2 linked regions of the Macaca mulatta genome follow. The protein of the gene in region 1 interacts with the protein of each later gene in a biochemical or structural test. Links are inferred from orthologs where the notes say so. Each region holds a gene or a part of one and is shown in the gene's direction. Other genes may lie near its edges.

Evidence for each region.
Region 2: the proteins of CFTR (region 1) and NHERF4 form a complex in vitro, tested with the Homo sapiens proteins (2 studies listed by BioGRID and IntAct, with this or other methods). The link is inferred for Macaca mulatta from reciprocal best matches to the Homo sapiens genes CFTR and NHERF4.

The regions. Positions count from the first base shown.
Region 1 is NC_133408.1:157,141,825-157,158,258, forward strand, and holds part of CFTR (cystic fibrosis transmembrane conductance regulator), read left to right. Parts: intron 1-2,289; coding exon 2,290-2,369; intron 2,370-5,687; coding exon 5,688-5,838; intron 5,839-6,747; coding exon 6,748-6,975; intron 6,976-9,912; coding exon 9,913-10,013; intron 10,014-16,434. UniProt on the Homo sapiens protein: Epithelial ion channel that plays an important role in the regulation of epithelial ion and water transport and fluid homeostasis. Mediates the transport of chloride ions across the cell membrane.
Region 2 is NC_133419.1:119,868,502-119,885,371, forward strand, and holds NHERF4 (Na(+)/H(+) exchange regulatory cofactor NHE-RF4), read left to right. Parts: upstream 1-6,561; 5' UTR 6,562-6,636; coding exon 6,637-6,652; intron 6,653-7,063; coding exon 7,064-7,094; intron 7,095-7,233; coding exon 7,234-7,307; intron 7,308-7,621; coding exon 7,622-7,833; intron 7,834-8,423; coding exon 8,424-8,613; intron 8,614-8,725; coding exon 8,726-8,862; intron 8,863-9,101; coding exon 9,102-9,306; intron 9,307-9,516; coding exon 9,517-9,713; intron 9,714-9,801; coding exon 9,802-10,029; intron 10,030-10,166; coding exon 10,167-10,367; intron 10,368-10,624; coding exon 10,625-10,654; 3' UTR 10,655-11,111; downstream 11,112-16,870. Other genes in the region: NLRX1 (NLR family member X1), read left to right, coding at 1,180-1,775, 2,337-2,423, 3,262-3,513, 4,265-4,586; DRC12 (dynein regulatory complex protein 12), read right to left, coding at 11,462-11,608, 11,867-11,997, 14,298-14,390, 15,241-15,360, 16,429-16,503.

The DNA.
Region 1 (16,434 bases):
TGATTCCTCATTAGACAAATTTGCACTGAAAGACTGAGGTTAATAAGGATTCCCCCAAGTTTTTTCACAGCAACCTGAGAGCACTTTCTCTGTTGAGGCATTTACTCTGTGATATGAAAAGATGAATAAGTCACAGTTCTTGCCCTGGAGGAGGTCACAGGTGAGAGGAGGAATTGACACAGAAACATTTGATATAAAGCAAGGAATAAATTCCAAGACTAAAATTTTCAGAAATCTAAAAACTCAAGATAAGAAAAACCCATCATATTTTCTGGATGACAAAATTTCAGTGTTATAGTATGTAGGAAGATCTTGATATTTATTCTGAAGCCCATGTGTCTTGCTGAAATCTTGCCTCATTTGGATATACTCATCACCATCCTCTGTTTTGGAGCTAAGAATTTTAGACTCAAGATGTCCAATTAATTGATCCATTGATTTTATTTTTTATGGAAATCTGAGACCCAGAGCAGGCAGGGGATTTCTCGCACATTTCTAGAAGAGTCAGACATGAGCCATGTGGCACAGTGGAAAGAACATGAGCATTGCCTGAGCTCTGAGTTGGCGCTATAAGAGCAGTGATCATGGGCAAGTGACTCTCCTGAGCCTTGGCCTCCTCACCTGTTAAGTGGGGAAAAGAATATTTCAGAGGATCTTTGTGAGAATGAAACAAGGCAATTTACTTGCCTGCTACATAGCCAGTGGGAAATCAATATAAGTTCCCCGTGGTTCCCTTCTGTGGGGTGTTGTTCCCACAGAGGGTGCACTGGCCATTCCACCTCTTCTTTTCCAAGCTCCTGTTTCCCTTTAATGCTGTTCATAGTTGGTTCCAAACCATTTGAAATATAATAAGCACCAGGATGGTTTTTTCTTTCCACCAAAGCAAATTTCATTTTCTAAACACTGTTTATAAATACCAATGGCTATTTTTTCAATTTTTGATTATCATGGAAAGATACAAATATATTTAATTAAATATGCCAAAGAATGTATTAATAAATATGTATTAAATAATTCCTACATATAAGGCCTTTTTTCTTGGGGCTATGGGTGATACAAAATAAGTGTGGCATGATCCCATTGACCTTTTGCAATTTATAACCTAGAAAAAGAGTTAAGATATGTTTATAAGTTCCTGTGATATAAGACATGCATATAGTCATTATAACAGAGGTGCAAACAAGATGTATTAAGTATATCCAGAGGAAGAGATTAATCCCAGCTGGAGAAAACACTGATGTTTTCTTGCAGCAGGGGCATTTGAGTTGAGCAAGGGAGGAAACAGATTTTGACAATGAGAGCTGAGGGGAAAGGGGTTTCAGATGGAGGGAACCACATGGGGAAAGCAGGGAGGTAGGAAAGTGTAGAGTGTGTTTAAAGAATAGACCAGTTTGGCTGAAACAGGATATTTGAGCAGAGGAAGCTTGTACTAAGTAGGTGGGTTGAGGCCAAATTATGCAAGGCATTAAATATTAAACTAGGAATTTTGGACTTTATCCTGCAGTTTATGGGGGGTAAATGATAAGATTCAATATCACTTTATTTGTACAGTATTATGTTACATTTTATCAAATTGTTTGTTTAATTCCTGTCTAGACAATGAATTTCTCAAGGACAAGGAGCATGGCTTATTCACCTCAGTTATTTCAGTGCCTAGTATTGTGCCTGGTACATAGTAGACACTTGTATATAACCTTTTTAAATTGAAGCAACAAGTTATCAACCTTACAAATGTGAATCCATGATTCAGATGACAGGTTGAAATGTAGATTGTCCATGAAGAGGGTAGAAAGAGAGTATGACAAGGGAGGACCAGACAGTGGGGCAGGCAGGGAGAGAGAGCAGCCAGGGTTTTGGTAGAGGTATGTCAAAAAGGTATGGAAGTCAGAGGAAAAGGAGACCCCTATGTTATGGAATACAAATGGAGGAGATGGTGACAGCGTATTGAGTAAGTTGTCATTAAATGCAAGGTTGCAAAAATAAGATTGTAATAGCAGGATGAATACCCACCTATTCCTAACATAATTTATAGTAAAATCTATTTCAAAGACATTGGTTGTTACTTGAATCTTACAGGAATCTGAAACTTTTTAAAACGTTTAAAAGTACAAGACAATAACTTGAACATATAATTATTTAGAATGTTTGGAAAGAAACAAAATTTTCTAAGTCTTTATCTGATTACATGCTAATTCTTATTTGGGTTATGAATGAGTCTACTGTGATCCAAATTTAGTATTGAATATATTGATATATCTTTTGAGGAATTTGTCATCTTGTATATTATAGGTGGGATTCTTAATAGATTCTCCAAAGATATAGCAATTTTGGATGATCTTCTGCCTCTTACCATATTTGACTTCATCCAGGTATGTAAAAATAAGTACTGTTAAGTATGTCTATTTGCCATGTTGTTTTTTAAATAATAACAAAAGCAAATGCAATTTCGTTTTCAATTTTTATTTGATTGAGAGTTGAAGTCCTGTCTATTGAATTAATTTTGTGATTATCCAAAGCCTTCAAAATAGACGTAAGTTTAGTAAATTCAATAACAAGTCAGAACTGTTTATCTGGCCCAGACCTGAGGCAATCCCACATTTAGATGTAATAGCTGTCTACTTGGGAGTGATTTGAGAGGCACAAAGGGCTATCTTTCCCCAGATCACTGGCCGCAAAGTGTGACATTTTGGCATTGGCATCGCTATTTTATGGAAGCCAACCTCCCCGCAAAAGGCCTGTATTAGAATGAAGATGGATTCCCTGGGTGGGTTACACTTGAAACTAGCCTCACCGTGAACATTTTAGCACAGAGTAGCTAGCCCATTCCCCCACAGTAAGGACCATAAGGAAGAGGGAGAAGCAAAGATAAGTTTTTGAACAAAAGAAAGGGGAAAGAAAAATCTAGGGTTTTATGAGGGCTGTCCCTGAGTGATAGATGTGAATAGGCCTCCAGGGAAGCCTGGCTCAAAGGCTGACTCTTTGGGTTGGGGTGACTGACTGGTGGTGAGAGTGGAGAAGAAAAGGGCAGTGGAGGAGGTGAAAGTGACCTTGGGACATCAGGTCTCCATACGTGACAGGATTTAAGGAGTGTTGTAAGCTGTGGTTGTTGGACCAGGTTTGAGCACAGCTTCCTGAGCTTCCTGACTGGTTTAGGTCAAGCTCCAGAGAGCAAATACCACAGTCTCAGTGATCTCCCTGGAGAAACAGTTGGAATAGGATGCTGCCCATGTTGGGATGAGTCATTGTCCCCTCTTGCTCTTTCCCCACCCCTGCAAAATAATAATACTGTATTTGATTGAACATATAAAACAAAAGAAGTATTATCACGTAAGTGTGTATATATAACCAACATTGGCAGGTGCAGAAAAATCAGACTGTCAGTTAGCCTCATCTGAAATGATTGACACAAGTATATTTACTGTTCCAAGTGAACTTTGGCATTTTGGATATCCTTCAGTTGTTCTGTTTAAAGATATAACTTAGAAGCAGCTGATGGAATATTTAAATCCATACTTTGAATTCATGCATTCAAAGAAACATGTCCTGTGTCACTAAATGCTGACATTTGTTTTTCATGTTAAGAGTGTAAATAACTTGTCCCAAATATAATATTATTACATCAGATAAAAATTGGAATGTGAACCTCTTGACTTGATTTTGAAAGTATTTGCCAATGGTGCCTCTTGATAATTATTTGAGGCTCATTTCAGAACTCCTCTGTAAGAGTTAATTTTTAAATATTCATTTTATAAATTACCATTTTTGACATACGTGATGGCTCTCAAATTTTTTCTTTTATGCCAATTTGAATCACTTCTGCTCAACGTGTTTGTTTTTTGTTTGTTTGTTTTTAAATTGAGACGGAGTCTCACTCTGTCGCCCAGGCTGGAGTGCAGTGGTGCAATCTTGGCTCAATGCAACCTCCGCCTCCTGGGTTCAAGCAATTCTCTTGTGTCAGCCTCCAGAGTAGCTGGGATTACAGGTGCCCACCACCATGCCTGGCTAATTTTTGTATTATTTCACCACATTGGCCAGGCTGGTCTTCAACTCCTGACCTCAAGTGAGCCACCTGCCTCAGCCTCGTAAAGTGCTGGAATTACAGGTGTTAGCCACTGCACCTGGCCCGGTTCAACTTTTAATGCTAAGATTCATTTGTTGTTGTTTCACAGATGATTAAGCAGAGGTCTTTTATATTAATTTACCTAATTTATTTGTAAGAGAGTCTCATATTAAGAGAGCATAATATACGACAATCCAAATACAGTACAAATTTGGTTAATTTTGATTTTGTTAAATGATTAATCACAGGGGTCCTTTAAATTGTGAACTCCTCTGATTATACTTAATTGTGTTATACCTCTAGTTATACTTAGTTTCAGACAAATAAAATTTAATTCTATTCATGACATTTCAGAAGCAGATCTGTTGCACAAAATAAAGCATACCTATAAGTTTTCTTTTTAAAAAATATTTCTGTTCACTCTATTTTCTATTACTTTTCTCTTTTAAAATTTTTAATTTTATTGTGGCAAGTCCACTTAACATGAGGTTTACCCTCTTAACAGATTTTTATGTGTAAAATACAATATTGTTCACCATGGGCAAAATGTTGCATGGCAGATCTCTGGAACTTACTCATTTTGCACTACTGAAATTTTATACCTGTTGATTAGTAACTCCCCATTTCCCTCTATCCCCTGTCCTGTTGCCCATGGTTCTGTTCTTTGCTTCTTTGAGTTTGAGTATTTTGATATCTCATATAATCTTCATTCTATTTTCTAACTTTTGACAATGTTCTGACAAATTTGCTTTCTGGATTGGAGCACTGTATAGTGAAAATTGAAAATCGGGGTTATTTTCCACAGATTCCCACTATTTTACCCTGAGCAGACACTTATCTTGAAGGGTCTCAGGTTTGTCACTTGTAGAATGGGGAATATAAACCTAATAATGGTCCCTTTCAGTTCTAAAGTTATATCAGTTGAAAATGCATGTGTCACTTATGGAAACTGGTAGAGAACTGCCTCACTGAATAGCATATGGATGTTATAAAGTGTTTATTTTTTTTCCTTTCTGCTGACAGTTACTTTATTTATACTTTATTCAAATGGGTTTTTGTGAAGTAAGTGTTGGCAGACTTTGTACCTTTTAAAAATGTATGTATTTGGTGTAATGTACAAATATGGAATTTATTAAGTATGATTTATTTCAATGTTAAGCATGAGAAAATATGCTCCAAAAGGTTAGATAGCTTGCCTAAATGACAAGCTTGTATTTCAAGCAGAACTTTCTGAATCAAAAGACTCCAAGATGAACGCCCAACTTTCAAAAACTGTCTAACCAAAATAAATCCTAAGATTTACCTTCATACTAAAATTATTTAAAAAGTTTATGTTAAATTAATATTCACTTAAAATGTATTTATCATACAATACTTTAAAGTGCCTGGGAAATGAAAATATCCCAAGATCAAAGAACACCATGTTTTCAAAACTTCAAAAATGTTATCAGTGACATGAACAATTTTTAAAATTTTCATAGAGCCTATGAAAAATGTACTTGCAAATGGTTACTTTCCGACTAGGAATAGAATGGGGAGAGTATTTAGAAATAAATCACTGACACACTTTGTCCACTTTGCAATGTGAAAACGTTTACTCACAAACATGTTTTCTTCGATCTCACAGTTGTTATTAATTGTGATTGGAGCTATAGCAGTTGTCGCGGTTTTACAACCCTACATCTTTGTTGCAACAGTGCCAGTGATAGTGGCTTTTATTATGTTGAGAGCATATTTTCTCCAAACCTCACAGCAACTCAAACAACTGGAATCTGAAGGTATGACAGTGAATGTGTGATACTCATCTTGGAAAAAAGCTACAAGAGCTATTTGAGATTCTTTATTGTTAATCTACTTTTCAAAAAAAATTCTGTTTTTAAACTTTCACATCATATAACAATAATTTTTTTCTACATGTATGTGTCTATAAAAGGAAACTGTATTACAAAGTACACATGGATTGTTTTTCTTAATTAACGGCCATGTGACTTCATTTTGGTTTTAAAATGGGTATATAGAATCTTACCACAGTTGGTGTACAGGACATTCATTTATAATAAACTTATATCAATTAAATTAAAAAATGATAGTGCTGCTATTACTAAAGGTTTCTCTGGGTTCCCAAATGATACTTGACCAAATTTGTCCCTTTGACTTTTTGTCTTCGGACACCCTTCCTTCATGTATTGGAGCTGCCATTTCATGTTCCCCCAAACTCTACTTGAGCTGTTAGGGAATCACATTTTGCAGTGACAGCCTTAGTGTTGGTACATTTTCAGGCAATAATTTTTCAGTGTATTTCTGCTTTGTAGGTTATTAGCTAAATCAAGTCACATAAACTTCCTTAATGTAGATACTTGAAAAAATTGTCTTAACATTTTTTTCAGTGATAATTAATTTAGAATTAGCCAGAAAATTCCCAGTGGTAGCCAAGAAAAAGGAATAAATGTTGGTGGTGATTTTTTAAGTTCCCATCTCTAGTAGCCAAGTAAAAAAGGAGAGTAGCTCATTAATAAAATAACAAATCACATCTATTCAAAGAATGGCACCAGTGTGAAAAAATCTTTTTAACCAATGACATTTGCGATATGATTACTCTAATTTAGTCTTTTTCAGGTACATGGTGTTATGAAATTGCATTCTGTGTTTATGTTATTTGCAATGTTTTCTATGGAAATATTTCACAGGCAGGAGTCCAATTTTCACTCATCTTGTTACAAGCTTAAAAGGACTATGGACACTTCGTGCCTTCGGACGGCAGCCTTACTTTGAAACTCTGTTCCACAAAGCTCTGAATTTACATACTGCCAACTGGTTCTTGTACCTATCAACACTGCGCTGGTTCCAAATGAGAATAGAAATGATTTTTGTCATCTTCTTCATTGCTGTTACCTTCATTTCCATTTTAACAACAGGTACTATGAACTGATTAATTTTAGCTAAGCATTTAGTAAAAACTTTGTCAATGAATAAAATGCTGCATTCTTATAGGTTATCAATTTTTGGTATCTTTAGAGTTTTTTTGGAGTTTAATAATTAACAAATTTGTTGGTTTATCATTGAACAAATGATTTCTTTGAATTTCCATTGTTTTATTGTTGAACAAATAATTTACTTGAAGTTGGATATATATGGTATTATCCCTGTTTTCACAGTTTTAAAAACCAAGGCACGCAGATTGTCAGATAGCAATTCTGTGATTGAAGGGGAAAAAATGTCACCTCTTCATACTCATATTGATGAAGAGTCCTAGCTTCAAAATTAATAGATCCCTAAAGAAGGGAAATGAAGCATCTGCATTCACACACACACACACACACACACACAGTTCCCCTTGTCGGTAAGTTTTGTTTCTTAAATCTCCACTAGGTAAAATTTGTTATCTAATTGCAAATTTTGCACAAAGTAAAACTGTCACAGAAAAGAAAGGAAGACTCATGTTTTTCAAAAGAAAAAAAAAAAAAAGAAAGTGCCATGTGTTTTAAACACAAATGTTCTGGATTGATTTTAGGATCTTTAGTGAAAAACAAAGTATTTCATAATAAGTAAAATAAAAATGTATGTAGGTAAATTTGTTTTCTCTAATTTAAGAATTTGAATTTCTGAGTATTTATGATAAGTATTGAAGTAAGTTGTTATATGTGACAGTGAATATTGGCAGAGTAAATGCCAAATCAATGCCAAATCTGGGAGATCATTTGATTGTAGGAACAGAATTCTGCTCAAACCAGAAGCAGGCATTTGTTGGAGTTACAGGAAGGCCTCAAGGAACAACGAGAAGGTGGTGCCATTTGACTCTTAAAGAAGCTGGAACAGGCACAAGAGAGTCAGCTGCAACTCTTCTTCTTCTTGAGTCTATATCTGTCCTGGGTCCATGCCTTTCTGTGACTGCTTCATTCCTTTCTCTCTCTGAAGACTGGTTTTCCTGGTGTACCAGGGCTATGCCACACTGACTTTATGTAGTGTCTCTGTTCTGGCCTCCTGAATTAACTGGCTTTCCTGGTGTACCAGAACTATGCCACATTGACTTTATGTAGTGTCTCCATTCTGGCCTCCTGAATCAACTGGTTTTCCTGGTGTATCAGGGCTATGCCACATTGACTTTATGTAGTGTCTCCATTCTGGCCTCCTGAATTAACTGGCTTTCCTGGTGAACCAGGGCTATGCAACATTGACTTTATGTAGTGTCTCCATTCTGGCCTCCTGAATTAACAGGAGAGCTCCTCTGTACAATTGCAAAGTCCTGGAGAGAACAGAAAACAGGTTCCTTTTGGCTCAGGGGTCCACCTGCAGTCTACTCCACTGCTATGAGGATAGTGGGTTCGCCACCTTTGTTGTTCTCACAGCTAGGGCAGTGGGAAATGACTCTATGAAGGAATATACATGGGCAGGCAAATGTACTAATCCTCATCAGTACTGCAATTTTAGGCAACTTTAAAAAATTCTTTTAAGTTATTTGAAAATGGGATCAAAGAAGGCTGAATTACATAAATGAAGATTTGTTAACAATTAATTCAAACCAATATAACACATGCTATACCATGGTTGAGTGTGATTGAGTCTTGATTTATTAGGGGCAATAATCAAAACATTTAACAATCATTATAGTACAGAACTTACCCATCAAATCAGATGGTCAGCCAGAGTGGATGTTGGTCACCCAGCTATTATTATCCCTGGCTCGACTGGTCTTCAGCTGTGTTAACTTGAAAATGTTAATTAGCTCTCTAAGCCCCTCATTTTCCTCAAGTGTAAATAGACACAATAATATTACCTATTACATAGGTGTGGGTGAATAGTAAATGGGATGATTTGTCCAAAACACTTAGTATAGTGCCTGGTCCATGGTAAATACTAAATAAATGTTATCTGACTTATTATTATTAAAATTTTATCTTCTCATCTTAACCTTCAGAACAAGCAATATATTGGGGTCTAGATAAATCTAACCTATATGAAAATAATTTAGTATTACCTACAGATATATGCTCTGTATATTATGCCTTCTGTTAGAGGAATTGCAGAAACAAAAATTTCAATTAATAATAAGAGAAATTATTTCTCCCAACTGTAGAACCTTTTGACAATTTTATCATGCATTACAGGTGTAAGATCTCTTGATTGGGACTTGATAGTTTAACTTTATAATAATTTAAGAACATTCCTCTTAGAGAATTTTTATGGCCATAATACTGAATACTTACGAGTTTTAATTAGCGGTCCTTTTTAGCCCTTAAAAAAAATGTATTGTAATTAAACACTTAAGTATCATTCTTCCCAGGTGCACTAATCTTTTTTTTTTCTTTTTTTATTTTTTTTTACATAGAGGGTATTATTTTCTCTTTCCAAATGGCAGACCTGTTAGTTTTCTGACTGTGGGGTGAAGTTCTAAGTCCATTTACTTCCCAACAGTATGCAATTAACAAATGTCCTCCTTGCAAAGGCGCAGATCTAAACATCTAAGCATGCAGATGCTGTTTGGACACACTATTCCCCTGCTTTTGGTTTCTTTGTATAGGAGCTCATCTGGATACAGGATATTTTCCCATTGCCCATTCTAATATTTGTTCTCTTATTACTTAGAGAATAATAGTAGAAGAGACAAATATGGTACCTACCCAATACCAACAGCACCTCCAACATCAGTAACATTTTTTAAAAAGGGCAACACTTTCCTAATATTCTATCACTCTTTGATTTAAAATCCTGGTTGAATACTTACTATATGCAGAACATTATTCTATTAGTAAATGCTGTGATGAACTGAGACTTAAAAATTGTTAAAATCAGCATAAAATTGAAATGTAAATTTAATAACATGAGTTTCATTTATGTCTTTTGTGCATCTATAGGAGAAGGAGAAGGAACAGTTGGTATTATCCTGACTTTAGCCATGAATATCATGAGTACATTGCAGTGGGCTGTAAACTCCAGCATAGATGTGGATAGCTTGGTAAGTCATTATCATCTTTTTAACTTTAATGAAAAAAATTCAGACAAGTAAAAAAGTATGAGTAATAGCATGAGGAAGAACTATATACCCTATATTGAGCTTAAGAAATAAAACATTACAGATAAATTGAGGGTCACTGTGTATCTTTCATTAAATCCTTATCTCTTCTTTCCTCCTCATGGATAGCGACTATAAAGATCTAATACTGCAGTGAGCATTCTTTCATCTGTTTCCTTGTTCAGGATTTTCTAGGACCAATACCTGGGAGTTGTACTACTGGGTCATAGAATTCACCCATGCTTAACTGAGTGGTGCCAAATTGTCCTCAGGTCTGTTGTACTGACATATATCCCCATCAAGAGAGTGCAAGAGTTCTCATAGCTACATATCTTCAACAACACTTGGTGTCTGATAGATGTGAAGTGATTGCTAAAAATGTAGGGCATCTGGATACATAATTATTGGCTTTTGCTGTTCTCTTACATTAATTTCTTATTCATGTTGATTACTCATTTGTCACCTAGATTGTTTTTTCTTCCTTAATTAATTTGTAGGAATTTATGAGTTATGGATTGTCAGTTCTATACATTTCAACCATAATCCCTCAGTTAGTGGCTTGGCTTATAGAGTCTTTTGATGAAAAGAAGATTTTAAGTTTAATAAAGTTCAATTTATTGTCTTTTCCTTTATGTTTTATGCTTTTGATATCTTTATTAAGAATTCCTTCCTTATCTTGAGCTCTCAAATTTAGCAGCATAACATTTTTATACTATTATTTAAATATTGCCACACATTTGTATACTGTATTAGTGTGTACAAAGACCACATTTTAGTTGTGTTATTTCTCTCATTTTGGTTTTCTAGAGTGCAGAGCCATTAATATTATAGTAATGTTTGTGTGCTAATACCATATCAGGGGCACAAATCCCATTGCAGCAGGACTGAGAAATTAAAGGAAATGATGCACATTTACCCATTTTTATTAAAAAAACCAAATGCATAATTTTCAATCAGACTATGTGGTTGGTCTGGATAGCTTCATCATTGAATTTTTAAAGTATTTTTATGCTACTGTATTTAAAATTATTCATTCAGCACTGCTTTTGTAGATGGCTTAGAAACCCAAGTTAAGAATGACTGTGCAACACTATTATTATACTCTTTTTAAAATTATGCTTTTTGCTTAAGTGTCTTTCCTTGTTCTCTGAGACAGTGTTCGTGTTCCCAAACCACACACAGTTATTTAGCTATAAAATTTGTATGATCAACTCCTGTCAGAACAAAGAGCATTATAAAAAATATCTCCAGGGAAAAGAAAACCCTTTTAATGCTCTCTTCTGGTCCATGTGTCTTCTTCTTTTCTTTAAGCATTTTCATAACACATTGAGCTGTAATTTAATCGGAACATGATTTATACTAAAGTTGGTTTCTTTACCTCTAACTTTTTTTTTTTAGTTTGATCAGCTCTTTTTAGCTTCTGTAGTTCTGTCTTTAATTCCATTCCAGCATGCTTTTGGAGTTGGGTCTCATAAATGTATAGAAATATTTCTGTTGGAAAACAGCAGGAGAATATTAAATGAATATTGTGCTTACATCTATTTAATTCTTTGCCCAACCTTCTACAACTTTGACTTTATATTTAAGCTCCTCATGCACTTACATGTTTCTTTACCTAAAAACATCTTTTTACCATGGATGTATACAATTCCTTTCTCTTTGCTGTATTAATTTTCTTGGTTTACATAGTAGCCTCTACACATTGATGTCAAAACCTCTGTTTGGTGCATTTCTACTCTGCATGTTCAATCTCCATGAAAGTTTCTGTAAGGCATTTTCATTCCTCTGGTTTTTCACATGTGCATCCTGGCTTTGTGACCTGTGCTTTGATATTGTGCCTTTCATCTTGTGGCACTGAAGGATCTTTGCAAGGACCTATTATGTTATAATACAGTCTATGAAAAGTATCAGTATTTGCACTTGATCACATTTTAAAAATCACATTCTTTTGTTTGAATATCAAAGCTAATATGTGAGTTATTTCCCTGCCAAATAGCACAAGTAGGCTTTCCTGGATGTTTATGGGCATTAATCTGGTTATTGATTCCCATCATACTGCTGTTACCCATGCCATTGCTAAACGTATACAGTAACTTTTTTGTTTTCACCTTGGCATATGTTGAGAGTAGGAAATAGATATGACTGTGCCTTCAAATTTTACGTTTGTATGATGTTAATCCCAAAGGTCCTTGTGACTTCTGAAGTAAAAACTCAGTGTTGTCATTTTACTTACTGAGTTGTTAACTGAATTTAGCGTTGAGTTTACAATGGAGTAAACAAGGTGTTTAGTTTGATGTATACTTCTACTTTTTCAGAAAAAAATGTTTATACTTGGAAAGAATAGTTTATTTACCCAACTGGCCTAGTTTAGACAACAACACAAAGTCAAATGTCAACATAACTCTGAAGTTATAAAAATGACAGTGTGGCTTTTTTTTTTTTTAACCTTCCACCTGGTGCTTAGGCCCAAGTGCCTAGCTTTCTGTAGCGCTCAACTAATAAAGGTAATGCTTTGATAACATTTAACCTCGAGTTGCATTGTGTCTGTGATCACATATCTCAAATATTGGTACACAAAACTGTACAACAACCTTTTTTATTAGATTTTCCTACTAAATTCCTTATTATATTCCCTAAGATAGCTTTTTCCCACCTTCTTCTCCCATCTCAAGTGCTCCAATAATTCCAACTCCTGCACTTTCAGCCAGTGACTTTATTATATCTTTTTAAAAAAAAAAAAACTTAAAAAAAATTTTTGATGCAACCAGAAAGAATTTTCTCGTTTCTCTCCACTGGTTGCACCAGCCTACTGCACCTCTCCTCATGCACCACCTTCTGCTGGTGTTCTTGCTCCTATATTCAGGAGCAAGTAATATGCAATACCTCCCTCTTCGTGGGACCTTTCTCATTAGCATAAAAATACTTTCCCTTGATCTCCAGCTACTATCCCGTTTCTTTGACCTATATATAGCAAAATATCTGAGAAAGGACAACTTTCCATCTTTTCCTCAACCTACTTCCATTTTTTTCTCAATCCACTTTCATTTCATTGTTTTCCTCAACCCATTCTTTCCACAACCTACTTCATTTTATTTCCATCAGCACCATAACTCAGGATCAACATCTTGTCAGAGCCAATTTCCTTGTCTCCCTTAACAGCTCCAGCAGTATTTATGCCATGGACAAGTTCTTCTTGTGATACTTTCTCTCTTGCTTCCATGACACTTCTCTTGCTTCATTTTCCTTCTACCTCTCTGGCTCCTCCTTGGTCCCTTTTCCTGGCCCCTTCTCTCAGCCCTGTTCTACTGACACTCTCTAGCTGTTATTTTCTAAACCCATGCTTCAGAAACCATCTCTTGATGAATCTTGGAAGGCCGAGGCAGGTGGATCACTTGAGGTCAAGAGTTTGAGACCAGCCTGGCCAACATGGTGAAACCCCATTTCTCCTAAAAATAACAAAAATTACCTGGCCATGGTGGCATGCACCCAGCTACTAGAGAGGCTGAGGCACGAGAATTGCTTGAACCTGGGAGATGGAGGTTGCAGTGAGCCGAGATCGCGCCACTGCACTCTGGCCTGGGCGATAGAGGAGACTCCATCACACAGACACACACAAAGAAAATAAACCATCTCTTGATGAATCATAAATTCGTATCTCTAGTTTAGACCTCTACCCTGCTCTCTAAATGTGTATCCAGCTCTCATCTTGACACCACCATATGTTCATAAAACACAATTACAGAATGTCTTTCAGTAGGCTTGACATTTTAAGGCATGAGTTTCTGTTCAGTATCTCCTTAAAATATACCCAGGGTCTCAGGAGACTATTAAAACAAGACAAAGCTTCTATTCTACTTACTAATGTGTCTGGCCTTATTTGGCAGGTTGGATAAAAAGTCATCTGAACATTGTCACTTTATGAATAATATAGTTTAATAGTTTGTGAATCACCCCTGTAATTTAATAAATAGTAAAATTATCAGAATCTAATTTAATAATTCCTGTTGGAACACCCCATGTTAGGGGATTTCCAGTTATTTCAATTGATATCTCAATGTTTTAAAAAGTGTTTATTTCTATTAATAATTCACTCTTTATTTTAACATAAATTGTGGCTTCTATCTCTATTCACTTCAATTGTATTTCTCATACCATTCTATAGACGGGGTGAAAAGAAAAGTGTTGATTTTTTAAAACTCCATACCTCAAATACTATATGAATTTATAGTTGTTATTGCTAAAGCAATTATCTTATATTTTTTCCTCCAAAAGAAAGTTGTGTGCTGGTTTATTTTCTTCGGACTCATAAGATGCCTTCAATTTTTAGTAACATAAGTCTTCTCTTTCTCCTATTCTTAGCTACTTAAGCGTTATGTAACTTAAATAAGCACTTAAGATTTCCATCTGTATGAACGAATAAAGATTAAACAAATAAGATCTAGAAAGGGTGACAAGGTGATGCTTCAAACTGAACCATACCAAGCCATCTAGCGACTGATAAATTACTCACACTCATAGTCACATTGTTGGAAAGCAGCCATTGACAATTCAGTTTGTTTCAAGACTGTCTACCACATAATGGGCACAACTAAAAGATTACTTTTTGTCTTTTACTGTTTGTTTTGTTGATCAAGTGACTGATTGTACAATGACCAACAAGAAGTCTGATGTGTAAAGAAAAGGGGAACCTGGCTTTTCTGCCTTACTCCTGTTGCCTAATTCTGAGCATGTGGATATTATTCTGTTTCTTTAATTCTCCCAGAGAAGCAGCAGATAAACCATCCCTGTTTCCATTAGCTGTCTACCCTGTTCAACTTTGTGTTTCTGATAACATAAGAAGAAGAAAGCCACCAGGGTAAGCAGGGAAGGCAATGAACCTGCAAGGCTTGTGGATAGATTTCTGTTAGTGAGGCTCTAGAAAATTCTTCCAAGATTGATGCAATCTGAGAAGAGTTTTCTGTCGATAGAAACTCCCGCGGTTTCTCCTTTGTCCTTTTATTGTCTGTGTTTGTTTTGGGTTCCAGTAAAGATCAAGCGACTGATTGTACAATGACCAACAAGAAACCTGATGTGTGGAGAAAAGGGGTACCTGGCTTTTCTGCATTACTCCAGATGCCTAATTTTCTTGTACTGAAAGTAGTTTTTGCTGTAAGAATCTGAGGGGAGGAGTCATTTCTTCAATTTTTTTTGGTCTCCTTTTAATGGTTTCTTGATCACGTCTATCTTTATTTTTCTATTTCCACAAGTCTTTGTGGTATATTTTCCTCTCATGACCTCTGTCTCAAGACTTCCTTCCATCCATCTCTTCTCATTGCATCCTGTAGAGTATCTGTGGTAAGAGCCCTGCATTCCATTCTGGCCTTGCCACGTGTGGCCTTGGGCAAGTCCTAGATTCCTTGAGGGCCTTATTTTTCTCATTTGTAAAATGAAACCCTTTGGTGAGAAGTTTTCTAAGGTTCCTTCCAGCTTTGAGAATCTCTCTCTTCTAGATCTTTTCAAATCTTGATTAGCGTGTAGGCAGGTATTATTCCACATCCTGACAGGAATCACATTTCTGCTACTATCCCTGAATGCTAGAGTCCATTGATTAAGTTATTCACTGCTGCAATTATCAGAGCTGACCAAAGAACTCTGAGCCAGTGTGTAACGAGAACTAACAAATGAAATGCCATTATTATGTTCTAGAGTCTTGAATTAGTAGAAGAGGTTTAACAAGAACCCTAAGAGATTGCTGGAATGTTAAAAACAAACAAACAAAAAAGGTTAAAAGGTTTAGAAAATTCACTGGGCTTTGTGCCTATCATTTTACTTCCTGGGTTTAGATAACCTCATTTTTGCAATGAAGGAATGAATTAGATCACAAGTTCTCATCCTAGTAGCACATGCAGAATCTTTATAAAAACACAGAGTAGCCAGGTGTGGTGGCTCATGCCTGTAATTCCAGCACTTCGGGAGGCTGGGGCAGGTGGATCACTTGAGAACAGGAGTTGAAGACCAGGCTGGCCAACATGGCAAAACCCTGTCTCTACTAAAAATACAAAAATTAGCCAGACACATGCCTTCCAGCTACTGGGGAGGCTGAGGCAGAAGAATCCATTGAACCTGGGAGATGGAGATTGCAGTGAGCCAAGATAGCTCCACTGCACTCCAGCCTGGCGACAGAGTGAGACTCTGTCTCAAACAAAACAAAACAAAACAAAACAAAACAAAAACACAGACTATTCAGGGTCCACTAAAACCTGTGAAGTCAGTTCTCTTGGTAGGGGGCAGGGTGACTGAGTATGATGTTTGTCATTTTAAAAGTGCTCCGGGTGATTCTAGTGTGTATCAAGCAAGACTTGTGAACCACTAAACTACATGCTAA
Region 2 (16,870 bases), on another chromosome or scaffold:
TGGTCTAGAACTCCCGGGCTCAAGTGATCCTCCTGCTTCGACCTCCCTAAGTGCTGGGATTACAGGCATGAGCCACTGCACCGGGCCTATGGAGGCTTTGAAGGAGGAAAGACCTTGGCACTGTGTTTTTTTTTTGTTTGGTTTTTTTGTTGTTGTTGTTTTTTGTTTTTTTTTGTTTTTTTTGTTTTTTTTGTTGAGACGGAGTCTCACTCTGTCACCCAGGCTGGAGTGCAGTGGCGCGATCTCGGCTCACTGCAAGCTCCGCCTCCCGGGTTTACGCCATTCTCCTGCCTCAGCCTCCCGAGTAGCTGGGACTACAGGCGCCGCCACCACGCCCGGCTAGTTTTTTGTATTTTTTATTAGAGATGGGGTTTCACCGTGTTAGCCAGGATGGTCTTGATCTCCTGACCTCATGATCCGCCCGTCTCGGCCTCCCAAAGTGCTGGGATTACAGGCTTGAGCCACCGCGCCCGGCCTGACCTTGGCACTGTTAAGATGAAAAAAGCCAAAAAGGCAGGAGCATAGTGAGTGGGGCCAAGAGGCTTGTGATGAAGGCATTGTAGTTGGCAGGGCCCAGATCACACAAGACCTTAAAGCAGTAGGAGCTGCATCAATCGTAGCTGCTGAGACAACAATGATGTTGAAGATGGTGATGTATTTGTGACACCTAGCCTGGTCCCAAACTAAGTGTGTAATACATGCTAATTCCTTCTTACCACCTCCTGGGTTTGAAAATGTATCAGGGTGTTTGGGAAAGAGAAAGAAGTTCCTAATGTCTGCAGCACATGAGACAGGTGTTGAGATATGACCCTGGGAAAGTCAAATTAGGGCCAAATTATTAAAAGTTTTGGGCCGGGTGCAGTGGCTTATGCCTATAATCCTAGCACTTTGGGGGCCTAGGCTAGGGAGCCCAGGAGTTCAAGACCAGCTTAGGTGACACAGCAAGACCCCATCTCTAGTTTTAAAAATCATTTCATATTCCAGGCTAAATGTTTGGAGTTTGCCACATAGGCAGTGGAAGGTGTCGCAGCAGGGGAGTAGCATGATCAGACAAATTATGCTAAGTTCACGGGGAGACCACAGGGCTGGAGCAGTCACAGGGGTGTACCTTAAGCTGAGCCTTGAAGGCTGAACAGGCATGTGGAAGGCCACAGTGACCCTCCCCTGCTTCTTTTTCAGGTGGTTCCACGAGTGTTTGGGCGCATGGTGGGTAAAAGCCGGGAGGCGGTGGCCCAGGCCATGGTGCTGGAGATGTTCCGAGAGGAGGACTATTACAATGATGATGTTCTGGACCAGATGGGCGCCAGTATCCTAGGCGTGGAGGGCCCCCGGCGCCACCCAGATGAGCCTCCTGAGGATGAAGTCTTCGAGCTCTTCCCCATATTCATGGGGGGGCTTCTCTCTGCCCACAACCGAGCTGTGCTAGCTCAGCTTGGCTGCCCCATCAAGAACCTGGATGCCCTGGAGAATGCCCAGGCCATCAAGAAGAAGCTGGGCAAGCTGGGCCGGCAGGTGCTACCCCCGTCGGAGCTCCTTGACCACCTCTTCTTCCACTACGAGTTCCAGAACCAGCGCTTCTCCGCCGAGGTGCTCAGCTCCCTTCGTCAGCTCAACTTGGCAGGTGTGCGTATGACACCCGTCAAGTGCACAGTGGTGGCATCTGTGCTGGGCAGCGGAAGGCATGCCCTGGATGAGGTGAATTTGGCCTCCTGCCAGCTAGACCCTGCTGGGCTGCGCACACTCATGCCTGTCTTACTGCGTGCCCGGAAACTGGGGTAAGGACCTATCCTCATGCACAGGCATGAAGAGGGTTGGAGGTGAAGCAGTGGGAAGAGAAAGTGCCAGGGAAACCAGAGGTACTGATGAATGACCAGATGAAGAAATCTAGTTTGGGCGGAGGAGACAGGAGCAGCAGAAGGGAGGAGCCAGCCCTGGTGGCTCCTGCTTGTAATCCCACTGCTTTGGGAAGACAAGGCAGAAGCATCACTTGAGCCTAGTAGTTTGAGACCATCCTGGGCAACATAGCAAGACCCTGTCTCTACAAAAGAATTTAAAAATTAGTCAGGTGTGGTGGCATGTGGCTATCATCCCAGCTACTCAGGAGGCTGAGATGGGAGGATTGCTTGAGCCCAGGTGTCTGAGGCTGCAGTGAGTTGTGATCATGCCATTGTGCTCCAACCTGGGTGACAGAGTGAGACCCTGTCTCTCAAAAAAGGGGAGGCAGGTATGGATTCCCAGAGGCAGGCTGATGAAAAAAGGTCATGGTAGATGGACAGACTGCTTGCTGAATTCCCTCCCTGGTCTCTCACCTCCCCTCTGGCCACCTTCTGCTCCAGCTTGCAACTCAACAGCCTGGGCCCTGAGGCCTGCAAGGACCTCCGAGACCTGCTGCTACATGACCAGTGCCAAATTACCACACTGCGGTGAGTGCCCTGGGAGTGGGGCATCCTGGTGGCCAGCTAAGGTCAAGGGTGAGTTCCCTGCCTCCTGGCATACTTGGCACAGGCCCGTCCAAGGGATAGTAAATGGAGGTGGGTCTAGGCCCTGACTGGTCCCCTCCACTTCCCCTAGGTCTACTGCAAGCAGCGGGGCAGCAGGGAAAGATGCCACCTGTAATGGGTGCTAAGAAACCTCTCACGTGGCTAAAAACAGCCTGGGGGAGGCAGGGAGAGAGGGTGGAATAATACCTAGGCCAGTTGCCTGGTAACAGTGCCACTGATCCCCTTCCAGGATTTTTCCTGCAGCTTCCTGAGGATGACCCTAATGCTGGGCACTCAGTAGACACCCCTGAAGTGTTGACTGATACATGGGGAACCCGAGCACCTGGGTTCCGAGTTTCTGGTTGGTGTAAGGGGAGGCAAATGAGGAGAGAAAAAGGAAGAACAGGGAGAAGGATACAGGAGTCAGAGGGAAGGGAGAAGCAGAGGCTGTGGAGGGGGTGAAAAAGGCAGAAGAAGGGAAACAGAAATGGTGAGGAGGAAGGGAATAGATAAGAAGGGGGTCGGGGGAAGAGGGAAGGAAAGGCCAGCTCCCCTACTCTCCCTCCTCTGCCAGGCACCACACCCCCTATTGCTCTACCCTTTCTCCTGGGCCTGCATTTCTATGTCCAGGCTCCTCTTGCCCCAAGCAGGGCCCTCTTTGGCCCACGTCCTGACACCCAGCACAGCGCGCTGCCCCATCAAGGCTGCCAGCACCACCAGCAACCTTGCCTCCCCCTCCTCTCAATGGGCCCTCATAACCTTGGGTTGCACGTGGCCGTAGGCTGTCCAACAACCCGCTGATGGCGGCAGGTGTTGCCCTGCTGATGGAGGGGCTGGCAGGAAACACCTCAGTGACACACCTGTCCCTGCTGCACACCGGCCTTGGGGACGAAGGTCTGGAGCTGCTGGCTGCCCAGCTGGATCGCAACCGGCAGCTGCAGGAGCTGAACGTGGCTTACAATGGTGCTGGTGACACAGCGGCCCTGGCCCTGGCCAGAGCTGCCCGGGAGCACCCTTCCCTGGAACTGCTGCAGTGAGTCCTGTCCCTGGTCCCATTGCCCCCAGCCCTTCAGACTACTTCCATCTCTCGACTGTGCTCTTCCAATCCTAGGGAGTGCTTCTGGGCCTGGGCCTGTCACCTGTCCTCTATTCCTGGTTTCTGACTGATCCTTGTCAACCTAGCTCTGAGTCAACCCACCCGCTCTGTGACTGGCCCTTAAACTGCCCCAGTTCCCTACCACCATTTCTCCTAAAGGCCTACTGTCCCTGGTCCCACTGAATTCTAGTATCAGGATCAGGTGCGGTGGCTCATGTCTGTAATCCCAGCACTTTGGGAGGCCGAGGCAGGCGCATCGCCTGAGGTCAGGAGTTCAAGACCAGCCTGGTCAACATGGTGAAACCCTGTCTCTACTAAACATACAAAAATTATCTGGGCATGTTGGTGCGCACCTGTAATCCCAGCTGCTTGGGAGGCTGAGGCAGGAGAATCGCTTGAACCCGGGAGGTGGAGGTTGCGGTAAGCCGAGATCATGCCACTGCACTCCAGCCTGGGTGACAGAGCGAGACTCTGTCTCAAAAAAAAAAAAAAAAAAAAAGAATTTTAATATTAGTCCCTGCTTCCCACTGGCCAGCACCCTCCATCTCTGGCTCATTGCAGATACTTACCTGATCGCACTCTGCAGCCAGGAGATGAGATGTGAGGCCCCCTGCTTTCCATCTGTCTACCCTCGGGCCCTCCTTCTCAGAGCTCTACTGAATGGCATCGACTTTCTCTCTCCTGCCAGCCTCTACTTCAATGAGCTGAGCTCAGAGGGCCGCCAGGTCTTGCGAGACTTGGGGGGTGCTGCTGAAGGTGGTGCCCGGGTGGTGGTGTCACTGACAGAGGGGACGGCGGTGTCGGAATACTGGTCAGTGATCCTCAGCGAAGTCCAGCGGAACCTCAACAGCTGGGACCGGGCCCGGGTCCAGCGACACCTTGAGCTCCTCCTGCGGGATCTGGAAGATAGCCGGGGTGCTACCCTTAATCCTTGGCGCAAGGCCCAGCTGCTGCGAGTGGAGGGCGAGGTGAGGGGCCTCCTAGAGCAGCTGGGAGGCTCTGGAAGCTGAGACACTGGCGGCAGGCACCTAACTATGTGACCACTGGCCCTAAACCTCTTCCCTCTGTGGCCTCCTGGCTTGCACTGCTCCCCCTAGAAAGATTCCTTCAGGTCTGGGGGCAAAGGAATGGGCACAGCTGTGCCAGTTGCCCTCCTAGGGCATGTTCGATCAGGACCGAGTCTGGAATCTCCAAGTTAAAGATGGTGAATCAATGCTTCGGGCTTGGAGATGGAACATGCCTCCTCTCCATTCATCAAGAAGGACCAAAGCATGTGGCATTTGGATGGCCAGAGTGCCCTGAAGCACCACCACCAACCTTGCCTCCCCCTCCTCTCAAGGAGCCTCTGATTGTGCCACCAAGGGGCTCACATCTTATGTCTGCCATGCCAGGGGTGTTGCCATCCAGATGTGTTGGAAACTTCCCCTCATGACTTATGCTCACCTGTGGACACTGAGGGTGCCCTCGCATTGGTGCTTTCTCCTCATCCTCATGCCCCCTTTGCCACAGTGGTACGATGGCTTGGTGGCCCCGCGAGGCAGATGCACCTGACTTGCTGCTATTAAAAAGCTGTGTGCCTTCCACCGATTGTGACCTCTTCTTTATTGCCTGGTGCTTCCAGGACGGGCACTCTTCTTGGTCTTTCTGGTTAAACTACCAACCATGATCTATTGCACGTGGTTCTTGGGCACTAGGTTCAGAGGCAGTGGAGGCTGGAGGGGCCCATGAACAAGATACTGGCATGGGGTTTGGCCATGCTGGACTGTATTATTCCGATCTCACACTGCTAATGAAGACATACACAAGACGGGGTAAGTAATTTATAAAGGAGGCTGGGCATGGTGGCTCACGCCCATAATCCCAGCACTTTGGGAGGCTGAGGTGGGCGGATCACCTGAGGTCAGGAGTTTGAGACCAGCCTGACCAACATGGAGAAACCTTGTCTCTACTAAAAATACAAAATTAGCTGGGTGTGGTGGCGCATGCCTGTAATCCCTGCTACTCGAGAGGCTAAAGCAAGAGAATCGCTTGAACCCAGGAGGTGGAGGTCGCAGTGAGCTGAGATAGCGCCACTGCACTCCAGCCTGGGAAACAAGAGTGAAACTCTGTCAAAAAAAAAAAAAAAATTATAAAGGAAAGAGGTTTAATTGACTCACAGTTCCACATGGCTGGGGAGGCCTCACAATTGTGGCAGAAGGCACATGAGGAGCAAAGTCACATCTTACATGGCAGCAGGCAAGAGAGTGTGTGCTGGGGAACTCCCCTTTATAAAACCATCAGATCTCATGAGACTTATTCACTCTCATGAAAACAGCACAGGAAAACCTGCCCCTGTGATTCAATTACCTCCCACCGGGTACCTCCCATGACACGAGGGAGTTATGGGAGCTGCAATTCAAGATGAGATTTGGGTAGGGACACAGCCAAACCATACCATGGGCCATAGAATTCTTATCACCCTTTTCACACTTACCCCCCAGGCTTGGAGTTAGTGACCAGCAATATGCCTTTCTCTGCACAGAGGGGCAACGGGGTCAGATTCAGGGTCTCCAGAAAAATCTCGGGCCCAGGATAGAGTCAGTATGAACTCACACTTTCCCAGAGAATAAGACTAAGCGGGGCATGGTGGCTCACGCCTGTAATCCCAGCACTTTGGGAGGCCGAGGCGGGCAGATCACCTGAGGTTGGGAGTTTGAGACCAGCCTGACAAATACGGAGAAACCCCATCTCTATTAAAAATACAAAATTAGCAGGGTGTGGTGGCACATGCCTGTAATCCCAGCTACTGAGGAGGCTGAGGCAGGAGAATTGCTTGAACCTGGGAGGCAGAGGTTGTGATGAGCCAAGATTGTGCCATTGCACTCCAGCTTGGGCAACAAGAGCTAATCTCTGTCTCAAAAAAAAAAAAAAAAAAAAAAAAAAGACTCTCACTGCCGTTAACCATTACCCCACTGCTTCCACAGCGTCTTCAAGGAGGCGGGACCTGGGAGGGGATGGGTGGGAGGGTCAGCGGCTGGATGAACCTTGTCCCTACCCCAGCACTGGGTTGCTGATCCGGCTATGGAGAAAGCTGCAGGTAGGAGGCCAGGAGAAATCCTCTGCAGGGGACTTTGGGACAGGCAGGGGGCCGACTTGGAGGCTGAAGCTTTGGGACCAGGGCACACTTGATTTTGGGGCTTGGAGCCCTGAGGCAGGTAAACAAGTCAGGAGAAAAGTAGTGAGTTGATATGTCTGTCTTTCTGGTCCACACCCTGTACTGATATGCTCAGATTTATGTGCCAAGGACTTGGGGGGAGGGGAAGGGAGAGGACCGCACAATATTCCTGTGCGTATGGCAGTGAGAAGAGAAGACCCTTTTGGAGCAGAATGGAGGGGGCATGCCCTGAGTTTGGGGGTTCCCCTGAGTCCTTTTAGTTTATGCCAATGGAAGAGGCACATCTGGGGAGAAGAATGTGACTCTCCTCCTCTCACCCACTTCTTTGCCCAGTAGATCTGCAGGACGCAGCCTCGTTAACTCTGTAAGTGCCATGAGGGTTGGGGCAAGGGGAAGAAAGAATCGGAGGCAGGGAAGCGCTTCACTGCCATTAGCACCTAAAGGAGATCCTGGGACCCAAGTCCAGCTGCCAGCTTGTACCTGCTTCCCCTGCCTCCTTGCAGGAAGTTTAAGTTTAACCCAAAGCTGGGCATTGATAATCCTGTCCTCTCACTGGCCGAAGACCACGACCCCTCTGGTAACTCCCTCACCCACTGACAACCATTCCCTTTCCCTGGAGGCACCACAACTCCACACAGCCTCCCATCTCCTTGGTAACCACTCACTCAGTCTCCCTCTGATAACAGCCTTGGTTGGGAGTAGAGATAGGAGGGGCCAGGCGTATTCTCCTGTCCCAGTCCCTCTGCCCATGAAGTGTTCACCCCACCACCCAACACCCAACCAGGCAGAAACTGCTTGTATCAGGACACAGGGTCTGCCAGGCACATGGTGAACCTGTACTTGGGCTGTGCCCTCTCCTCCCCCTTTTCTGCTGCCCACCTCACCCTCCAGATCCCTGGAGCCTGGAGCGGCCTCGCTTCTGCTTGCTGAGCAAAGAGAAGGGCAAGAGTTTTGGCTTCCACCTGCAGCAGGAGCTGGGCAGGGCTGGGCATGTGGTGTGCAGGGTGGACCCAGGCACCTCTGCCCAGCGCCAGGGTCTTCAGGAAGGAGACAGGATCCTGGCGGTGAACAACGATGTTGTGGAACACGAAGACTACGCGGTGGTAAGGCTGTGGTCCGGGAGAGCATGCTAGCACCTCAGAAAGAGAAGCGGGTTGCTCAGTCCCCTGGGCACTATGGCAGCAAGGCACAAGCCTCACTCCCCTACACCCCAGGATTTAGGAGTGCCCAAGTCAGAGGGGTTGGGGAAAGCATCTAGAAAGCTGATTCCCACTGGGCGCAGTGGCTCATGCCTGTAATCCCAGCACTTTGGGAGGCCGAGGCGGGTGGATCACCCAAGGTCAGGAGTTCAAGGCCAGCCTGGGCAACATGGCAAGACCTTGTCTCTACTAAAAATACAGCAATTAGCTGAGCGTGGTGGTGGCGCCTGTACTCGCAGCTACTCGGGAGGCTGAGGCAGGAGAATCACTTGAACCTGGGAGGCGGAGGTTGCAGTGAGCCGAGATTGTGCCATTGCACTCCAGCCTGGGCAACAAGAGCAAAACTCCATCTCAAAAAAAAAAAAAAAAAGAAAAGAAAAGAAAAGAAAGAAAAAAAGCCTATTCCCATGGCAAAAAAATGTGGATTCCAGGGAGGTCCTGGGGGTTGGCAAGAGGGTCTAGACCAAACCCACGCCCACGTGCCCTCTGTCCAGGTGGTACGCCGCATCCGGGCCAGCGGTCCTCGGGTGTTGCTGACAGTCTTGGCACGGCATGCACATGACGTGGCCCGAGCCCAGCTGGGAGAAGATGCCCACCTCTGTCCCACCCTAGGCCCAGGGGTCCGGCCTCGGCTGTGCCACATAGTGAAAGATGAGGGTGGTTTTGGCTTCGGCGTCACCCATGGTGAGCCCAGAGGGTGCGAGGGGGTGGCAAGGATGAGGGATTTCAGTCCCTGTTCAGGGCAGGCAGGCAACAGACTGGAACTTTTTTTTTTTTTTTTTTTTTTGATTTCTAGGCAATCAGGGTCCTTTCTGGTTGGTGCTAAGTACTGGAGGAGCAGCTGAGCGGGCAGGGGTGCCCCCCGGGGCCCGACTGCTGGAAGTGAATGGGGTCAGTGTGGAGAAGCTCACTCACAACCAACTCACCAGGAAGGTGTGGCTGCCTGTCTCCCACTCTCCTCCCCCAGTCTGGGCCTGGGCCCCACCTCGGGAAGACGCCTCCTCCCCTATGCACCTAACCTCCTTATCTGGTCTCCTACCTTGATCACCATCCTGCCCCTCTACAGTTTGTGCCAGGCTCCACTTAGTGCCTGGGAGGAGGGGCTGTGGGGGGAGCATGCCTCTTCTCTCCCTGCCCAGGTGTTATACTGATGCCCTGCTGGGTCCCCACAGCTTTGGCAGAGTGGACAGCAGGTGACCTTGCTGGTGGCAGGGCCAGAGGTGGAGGAACAGTGTCGCCAGCTGGGATTGCCCCTGGCTGCACCCCTGGCAGAGGGCTGGGCACTGCCCAACAAGCCCCGCTGTCTGCACCTAGAGAAAGGGCCCCAGGGTTTTGGGTTCCTGCTCCGGGAGGAAAAGGGCCCTGACGGTCGCCCTGGTGAGTAGGAGCCCTGGGGGTGGTGGGGGAAGGTGGGCCTTGGGGTGGGCACACAAGTGTATATACACCTTTCAGTGCACAGAAGAGGTGTCCCTGTCTGAGCTCTGGCCCTGGGCCGCCTCTTCCTGTTCACTCCGGGGTCAGTCCCCTGGTGTGCACACAGTGGCCTAGGATAGCTGGAGGGGAGCAGTGAGGATGTGTATGCCCCAGGACAGTTCCTGTGGGAAGTGGACCCGGGACTGCCAGCCAAGAAGGCTGGGATGCAGGCTGGGGACCGGCTGGTGGCTGTGGCTGGGGAGAGCGTGGAGGGGCTGGGCCATGAGGAGACAGTGTCCAGGATCCAGGCGCAGGGCTCCTGTGTCTCCCTCATTGTCGTCGACCCTGAGGCTGACCGCTTCTTCAGCATGGTGCGTGCTGAGGGGCAGGGGCTAGGGTTGGGGCAGGAGTGGAGCAGGGCTTGGGTCCAACAGATTTGCTCTACCTGCCACCTTCCAGGTTCGCCTATCCCCACTCCTCTTCTTGGAGAACACAGAGGCTCCCGCCTCTCCCCAGGGCAGCAGCTCAGCCTCACTGGTTGAGACAGAGGTCCCTTCGCTTGAAGACACAGGCGTGCCTTCTGTCCCTCTGGGCTCCCGACAGTGCTTTCTGTACCCTGGGCCTGGTGGCGGCTATGGCTTCCGACTCAGCTGTGTGGCCAGTGGGCCTCGTCTCTTCATCTCCCAGGTGACTGATGCCCCATGCATCTTGGATCCCTTCAATCCTTTGCTGCCTGATCAGTCTTCCTCTTCTTCCCTCCCAGAGCCTTAAGCCAGCAAACTTTCCCCTGGTGTCCCCTGTTCTGCATGCCCCCACACCACCAGGTGACTCCCGGAGGCTCAGCTGCCCGGGCTGGGCTGCAAGTGGGAGATGTGATTCTGGAAGTGAATGGGTATCCTGTTGGGGGAGAGAATGACCTGGAGAGGCTTCAGCAGCTGCCTGAGGCTGAGCCACCCCTCTGCCTGAAGCTGGCAGCCAGGTCTCTGCGGGGCTTGGAAGCCTGGATTCCCACTGGGGCTGCAGAGGTGAGGAAGAAGAAACGGATGGGACTGTGAGTAGTTACAGAGGGCAGGGAGGAGTGAGAAAGAAGGGCAGAGTGGGCGAGGTACAAGGTGAAGCAGTGTGGGGTATGCAGGTTGGGACTTCAGGTTGTGGTAGGTGGGGACAGAAGGACCCGTGAAATAAGCCCCATTCCTGGGCATTGCAGGGCAGGGGTGAGAAAGAAAAAGGAACTCTTCTGGGTGCCACCTGGAATGACCTTCTACCTCCTCTCTCTGCACAGGACTGGGCTCTGGCCTCGGATCTGCTGTAGAGCACCTCTGCTTGGTACAGACATACTCAGGGGCTACTGTGTCTTCACTCTCCAGCCCGAGGTGGTGGAGGCAGGATTGCTCTCTCTAAGCCAGACTGGAGGAACTCAGGCACCACCGATCACAGGCTGGCCCAGGTGCTCCCCCACTTCCTGCAGGCCCACCTTCTAGCAGAGGGTGTGGATGGAGGCCTCAGGCAGGTTCCTGAAGGAGTCTGAGGCTCCAGAGGATGTCATATGGGAGTTTGGAGAGCTGTGTCCCAGGGATGAAGGTGTGGCTGTGGGTCTGGCTAGGATTGAAGCCATCTGGACCTTTTCTAGATATGACTCCAGGACACTTGAGTGTAATGCAAAAATGTGGAGACCAGCTATGCCTGTCTTCTGTGGGTGCCTCAGCATTGCCGGAGGGTGGTGCTTGGTCACCGTTGCATTTGTTATAGAAGTGGCCGTTCCCCATAAATCTGACTGCCTGTGTTTGTGTTGGTGGGGGTAAGGGGCAGTGGTGTGAAGGGACCAAAAGGGCCTCAGGCTCAAGGGGTGGGATGCGGCTTCTGCAGGAGAAAAGGTGAGACCTGGTCAAATTTCTTTCCTATCACTGAGTCTCAGGGATAATGGGTCAACCCAGAACTGAGATGTCTGCATGAGAGCCACTCCTAAAAATAAACAAAACAAAAGAAAAAAACAACAAAAGAAGAAAACTAAATAAAAATAAAAATAAAAAAGATCCACTCCTCTCTGCCAAAAGGCCAGAGCCCACAGCTCTACTGAGTTCTACATCAAGACACTTTATTGCTGGCGCCTCAGAGAACACTAGAGACTAGGGGCTGATGGCCTCAAAGATCCAGGGCGGTGAGTCCAAACTGGCGTAGCTGCTCCTTGTGCCTGGCATGGAGTCTCAATGCCGTCCCATCCCACTGTGACTTGATGGCTCTCAGCTTGGCCAAGAGCCTGTCCAGACTGTCCTGCAGACATCAATATTTCAGCCCCCAGGAAGAGACAGGGAAGGAGTGAGGGCTGCCCCAGGTTGGTTTGTAAGCTTTCCTTGCCCAGTAGACATGGTTGTATCCCCTCTCTGCCCTCAGGATAGAGCGGGGCTCCCTTGGAGATACTTCTTCTCCTTACCCCTGGGTTGTCAGTCATCACACTAGCTGGGGTTTGTGGGCATGGGGGAGTCCTGGGTACTGGGATGACTGGGATCCAGGAGGTGGTGCTTACCTGTAAGATTTCCTCATACTTTGCCTCCATGTCTGCCACGTGGGTCCGAAGCTGAGACAGGGCCTGGTCCCGCTCTCTTAGAGCTTGTTCAGCCTCTTCCCGGGCAGCCGCAGCTTCCTTTTGGCATGCCTCTGGGGGCAGGCAGGATGAAAGACAGCAGGATGGTGACACTCTATCCTTGACCAGTCTCCAAAGGTATCTGGAAAGGAGACCTTGAATGGGCTCATTCCAGACTCCCCCAGCATCACCAACTTTCCTGCAGTCCCTGTAAAAGCTGAAGCTCCACTGAGGTGTAGCAGAGAATGGTGGGCTTGAGACAGAAGGCTCCAAAGTCGGATTACTACCTAGGTGACCACAGACATGTCTCTTTCTGAGCCTCAGTGTCTTCATCTTTTTATTTATTATTTATTTATTTAGATGGAGTCTCACTCTGTCACCAGACTGGAGTGCAGTGGCATGATCTCGGCTCACTGCAACCGCCGCCTCCTGGGTTCAAGCAATTCTCTTGCCTCAGCCTCCTGAGTAGCTGGGACTACAGGCACATGCCACCACGCCCAGCTAATTTTTTAATTTTTATTAGAGACAGGGTTTCACCATGTTGGCCAGGATGGTCCCTATCTCTTGACCTCGTGATCCGCCCACCTCAGCCTCCCAGAGTGCTGGGATTACAGGCGTGAGCCACCGCAGCTAGCTGGTGTCTTCATCTTTAAAGAGAGAATGACACATCTCTCAGGGGTATGCTGTGACCTTTAAACACGATGATGGATGACAAAGCACCTAGCTAGTATACAGGAAGTGCTCCGTAAACATTGATTCATTGGCCGGGTGTGATGGCTCACGCCTGTAATCCTAGCACTATGGGAGGCCGGGGAGGGCGGATTACCTGAGATCAGGAGTCCTGGCCAACATGGTGAAACTCCCATCTCTACTAAAAATACAAAAATTAGCCAGGCATGGTGGCACACATCTGTAATCCCAGCTACTCGGGAGGCTGAGGCAGGAGAATGGCTTGAATCTGGGAGGCAGAGGTTGCTGTCAGCCGAGATTGCGCCATTGCACTCCAGCCTGAGCAACCAGAACGAAACTGCGTCTCAAAAAAACAAAACAAAACAAAACAAAAACAAAAAACAACAACAACAACAAAAACAATTGAGTTATTGATTGACTTGGAATTTGAGGTAAAGCAAAGATTAGGAAAGGAACCCAGGGTCTGAATGGCAGATAAGCAGCTCCTGGCCATCTATAGCTAAACCAAAGGCTTTTTTTTTTTTTTTTGGTCGGAGTCTTACTCTGTCACCCAGGCTGGAGTGCAGTGGTGCGATCTCGGCTCACTGCAGCCTCCGCGTCCTGGATTCAAGTGATTCTTCTGACTCAGCTTCCCAAGTATCTGAGATTACAGGCACATGCCACCATGCCCGGCTAATTTTTGTAATTTTAGTAGAGACGGCATTTCACCATATTGGCCAGGCTGGTCTCGAACTCCTGGCCTCAAGCAATCCTCTCGCCTTGGCCTCCCAAAGTGCTGGGATTACAGGGGTGAGCCACTGAGCCCGGCTGAAGGCATTTTTAAGGTATGAACACTTTGGGACCAAAATTGTGCAAGAGCTCATGTGTCATGCTGAGATATTTCAACATTATTTTGTAAGCAGGAGGCAAGAGAAGAGAAGCAATGGCTTCCTAGTTTTTAAAAATATTTTTGCTTATTGGGAGTGTTTATTCATTTATTTAGTGAACAGTTATTTAGGACCTACCGGGTGCTAGGTCTTGTAAGTAAATAAGTCAAACATTTTCCCTTAGTTTCGTTGTAGAAATCAGCTAAACTAAAAGGGAATATGTTTTGCTCACAAGAGACATGGCAGTGGTGGGGAGTTAGGTAGGGCTGGACTTGGAGAGGAGGAAATGGGGTGTGACGCCTACCTCTTCTTTTTTATTTTTATTTATTTTTTTGAGACAGAGTTGCTCTGTCGCCCAGGCTGGAGTGCAATGGCGCGATCTCGGCTCACTGCAACCTCTGCCTCCCGGATTCAAGCAATTCTCCTGCCTCAGCCTCCCGAGTAGCTAGGATTACAGGTGTGCGCCACCACATCTGGCTAATTTTTATATTTTTAGTAGAGACAGGGTTTCGCCATTTGGCCAGGCTGTTCTCGAACTCCTGACCTCAGGCGATCCGCCCGCCTTGGCCTCCCATAGTGCTGGGATTACAGGCCTGAGCCACTGCGCCTGGCACCTCTTCTTTACTTACAACAGAGATTCTTGGCATCCCGAACCCTCTGCTCCAGTCCTCGATGGTGGAGGGTCAGTGAAAGTGGGGAAAGTGATCCCAGAGCCCGGGTGGCAGCTTTCTGGAGCAGAGACTTTGAAGTCTGCCCCTTCATGCTGGCCCTTGCTGCAACTCTTGGAGACAAGGGGCTTGGGGGGTGGGGAAACCTACCTAGCTGCCCCCGAAGGCCCTTGACTTCTTCCTCCAGCTGCTTGCTGCGGGATTGCATATCCTCCTGCAGGGCATGGCACTGGCGACTCATCTCTGGGGTGGGGGCAGTAGGCCGCCAGGGACCCAGGTCGGAGATGGAGCGATGGAGAAAGGAAATGAAGTTGTGGGTGGGGAAGACTCTACTTGGTCTAGTGGAACAGGAGCACAAAGGCCTTCTTGGTTCTTCTTTTTCTTTTTTTTTTTTTTTTTTTGAGACGGGGTCTCGCTCTGTCGCCCAGGCTGGAGTGCAGTGGTGCGATCTTGGCTCACTGCAAGCTCCGACTCCCGGGTTCACCCCCTTCTCCTGCCTCAGTCTCCCGAGTAGCTGGGACTACAGGCACCTGCCACCACACCCGGCTAATTTTTTGCATTTTTAGTAGAGACGGAGTTTCACCATGTTAGCCAGGATGGTCTCGATCTCCTGACCTCGTGATCCGCCCGCCTCGGCCTCCCAAAGTGCTGGGATTACAGGTGTGAGCCACCACTCCCGGCCCATGGTCTTCTTGGTTCTTTTTGTGATTCTGAGAAGCTAGAGACCATGAAAACCTGAGGAAGGGAAAGGAAGCCCAACCCACCTCCCCCACCGTCCAGCTTTGGATGGGGATGCTAGTCCTTCTCCCCTCCCATAGGATGGTTGAGGTGATGGCTATGACTGCATGCGTATCCTACACAGCATCAAGCACATGGCACCAGGCATCCTGGCAGGCCCCTGCCTGGGATCCCAGGAACCTACCTGCCTTTGATTCCTGCAGGATCCTGCCTGATTTGTACTGTTCGGGGAAGACCAAGACCAGGCCTGGCAGTTGGAAGCCCTCCTTGTTTCCCTTCCTTGCATCATCTGACCCTGCTGGTTGTCTTCCTCCAGGCCCCTGTCTCCTGCCCACCTGCTCAACAGACCACACACCTGCATATATGGCCTTCCCTTCACTTCGGGCCCCTTCCAGCTCAGCCTCCACCCTTTGCAGCCTCTGCTTCAGCTGGTCTTCGGAAGCCTTGGCTCGACGGGCTTCATCCCTCCGTAGAGCTGTGAGCAGTCCCAGAGCCACTGTCAGGACTGGCTGGGGCCCGCTAAATCAGCCCCCATGAACTTGATGAATTTTGCCCGTCTCTAGAAATCTGGTGGCGGGGCGTCCAGCCTCTTATTCTCTCTCTGGGTTTTGTTGTTTTTGTTTTTTATCCCTAGAGTCTCACAGGCTCCTCATTATTAAGAAGTAAAGACTCTCTCCATGTTCTGCCTATACAAAATAGCTTTCCGGATAGCCCGGCATGGTGGCTCATGCCTGTAATCCCAATATTTTGGGAGGCTTAGGTGGGAGAATTGCTTGAGGCCAGGAGTTTGAGACCTGCCTGGGCAACAGAGTGAGACCTTGTCTCTATAAGAAAAATAAATAGGGCCAGGCGCAGTGGCTCATGCCTGTAATCCCAGCACTTTGGGAGGCCAAGGTGGGAGGATCATGAGGTCAAGAGTTCGAGACCAGCTTGGCCAACATGGTGAAAACCTGTCTCTAATAAGAATACAAAAATTAGCCGGGCGTGGTGGCTGTGTGCCTGTAATCCCAGCTACTTGGGAGGCCGAGGCAGGGGAATCACTTGAGCCTGGGAGGCAGAGGTTGCAGTGAGCCAAGATCACGCCACTGCACTCCAGCCTGGGCAACAGAGCACAGGACTCTGTCTTAAAAAAAAAAGATAGTAAAATAAAATAAAATGAAATAATAAAATAAAATAAATTTTAAAAAAGAAAAATAAATAAATAAATAAAGTAGCTAGGTAGGGTGGTGTGCACCAGCTACTCGTGAAGCTGAGGTGGGAAGATTGTTGGGGTCCAGGAGTTTGAGATTACAGTGAGCTATGATCACACCACTGCAGTCCAGCCTGGGCAATAGAGCAAGATTCTGTCTAAAAAAAAAAAAAAAGCTTCCTTTATCAACTCTCACTGCCCACCCCTCTCTCATTGTCTTTTTCCACTAGGGGATGGTTAGGGTTCAACTTAGCCCCCCACTGTATCTCCAACTCTCCAATCCCCCAGGATACAGAAATGCCCCATTTCACTTGCCCTGTTGCCCACCCCCATGCCAACTTCTACCCTCCTTACCCAAGTGATCTCGGAGCAGCTCCTTCTCCAGCACCACCAGCCTGTGCCTGGACTCAGCCTCCACATCTGCACCTGCTGTGGCAAGTGGCAGAGCCTCAGCTCTTCGTGATCTCAGCATTCCTCACTCTCCTTGCGTCCTCACCCCACACCCTGCACTTTTGCCACAGGAGACCTGAGGACCACTAAATGAGGGATCCATGGTGGCAGAGTCTACTGAAGTCAGCACTGTGTCCTTACCAACCAGCACATAACAGATATGCAAAATACACATGACAAATATATTAGGAAGGCACAAAGCTAGATGGTGCTTAAAGGAGAGCGTGAGTGACCATTTCCCCACTTCCTCAGCTCCCTGCATCTGACTTCAAGGACACGAAAGAGGAAGGTCAAGAGAGTTCCATCCTGTCATGTAGAAGGCTGAATTCTCTCTGGAGGAGCTCTG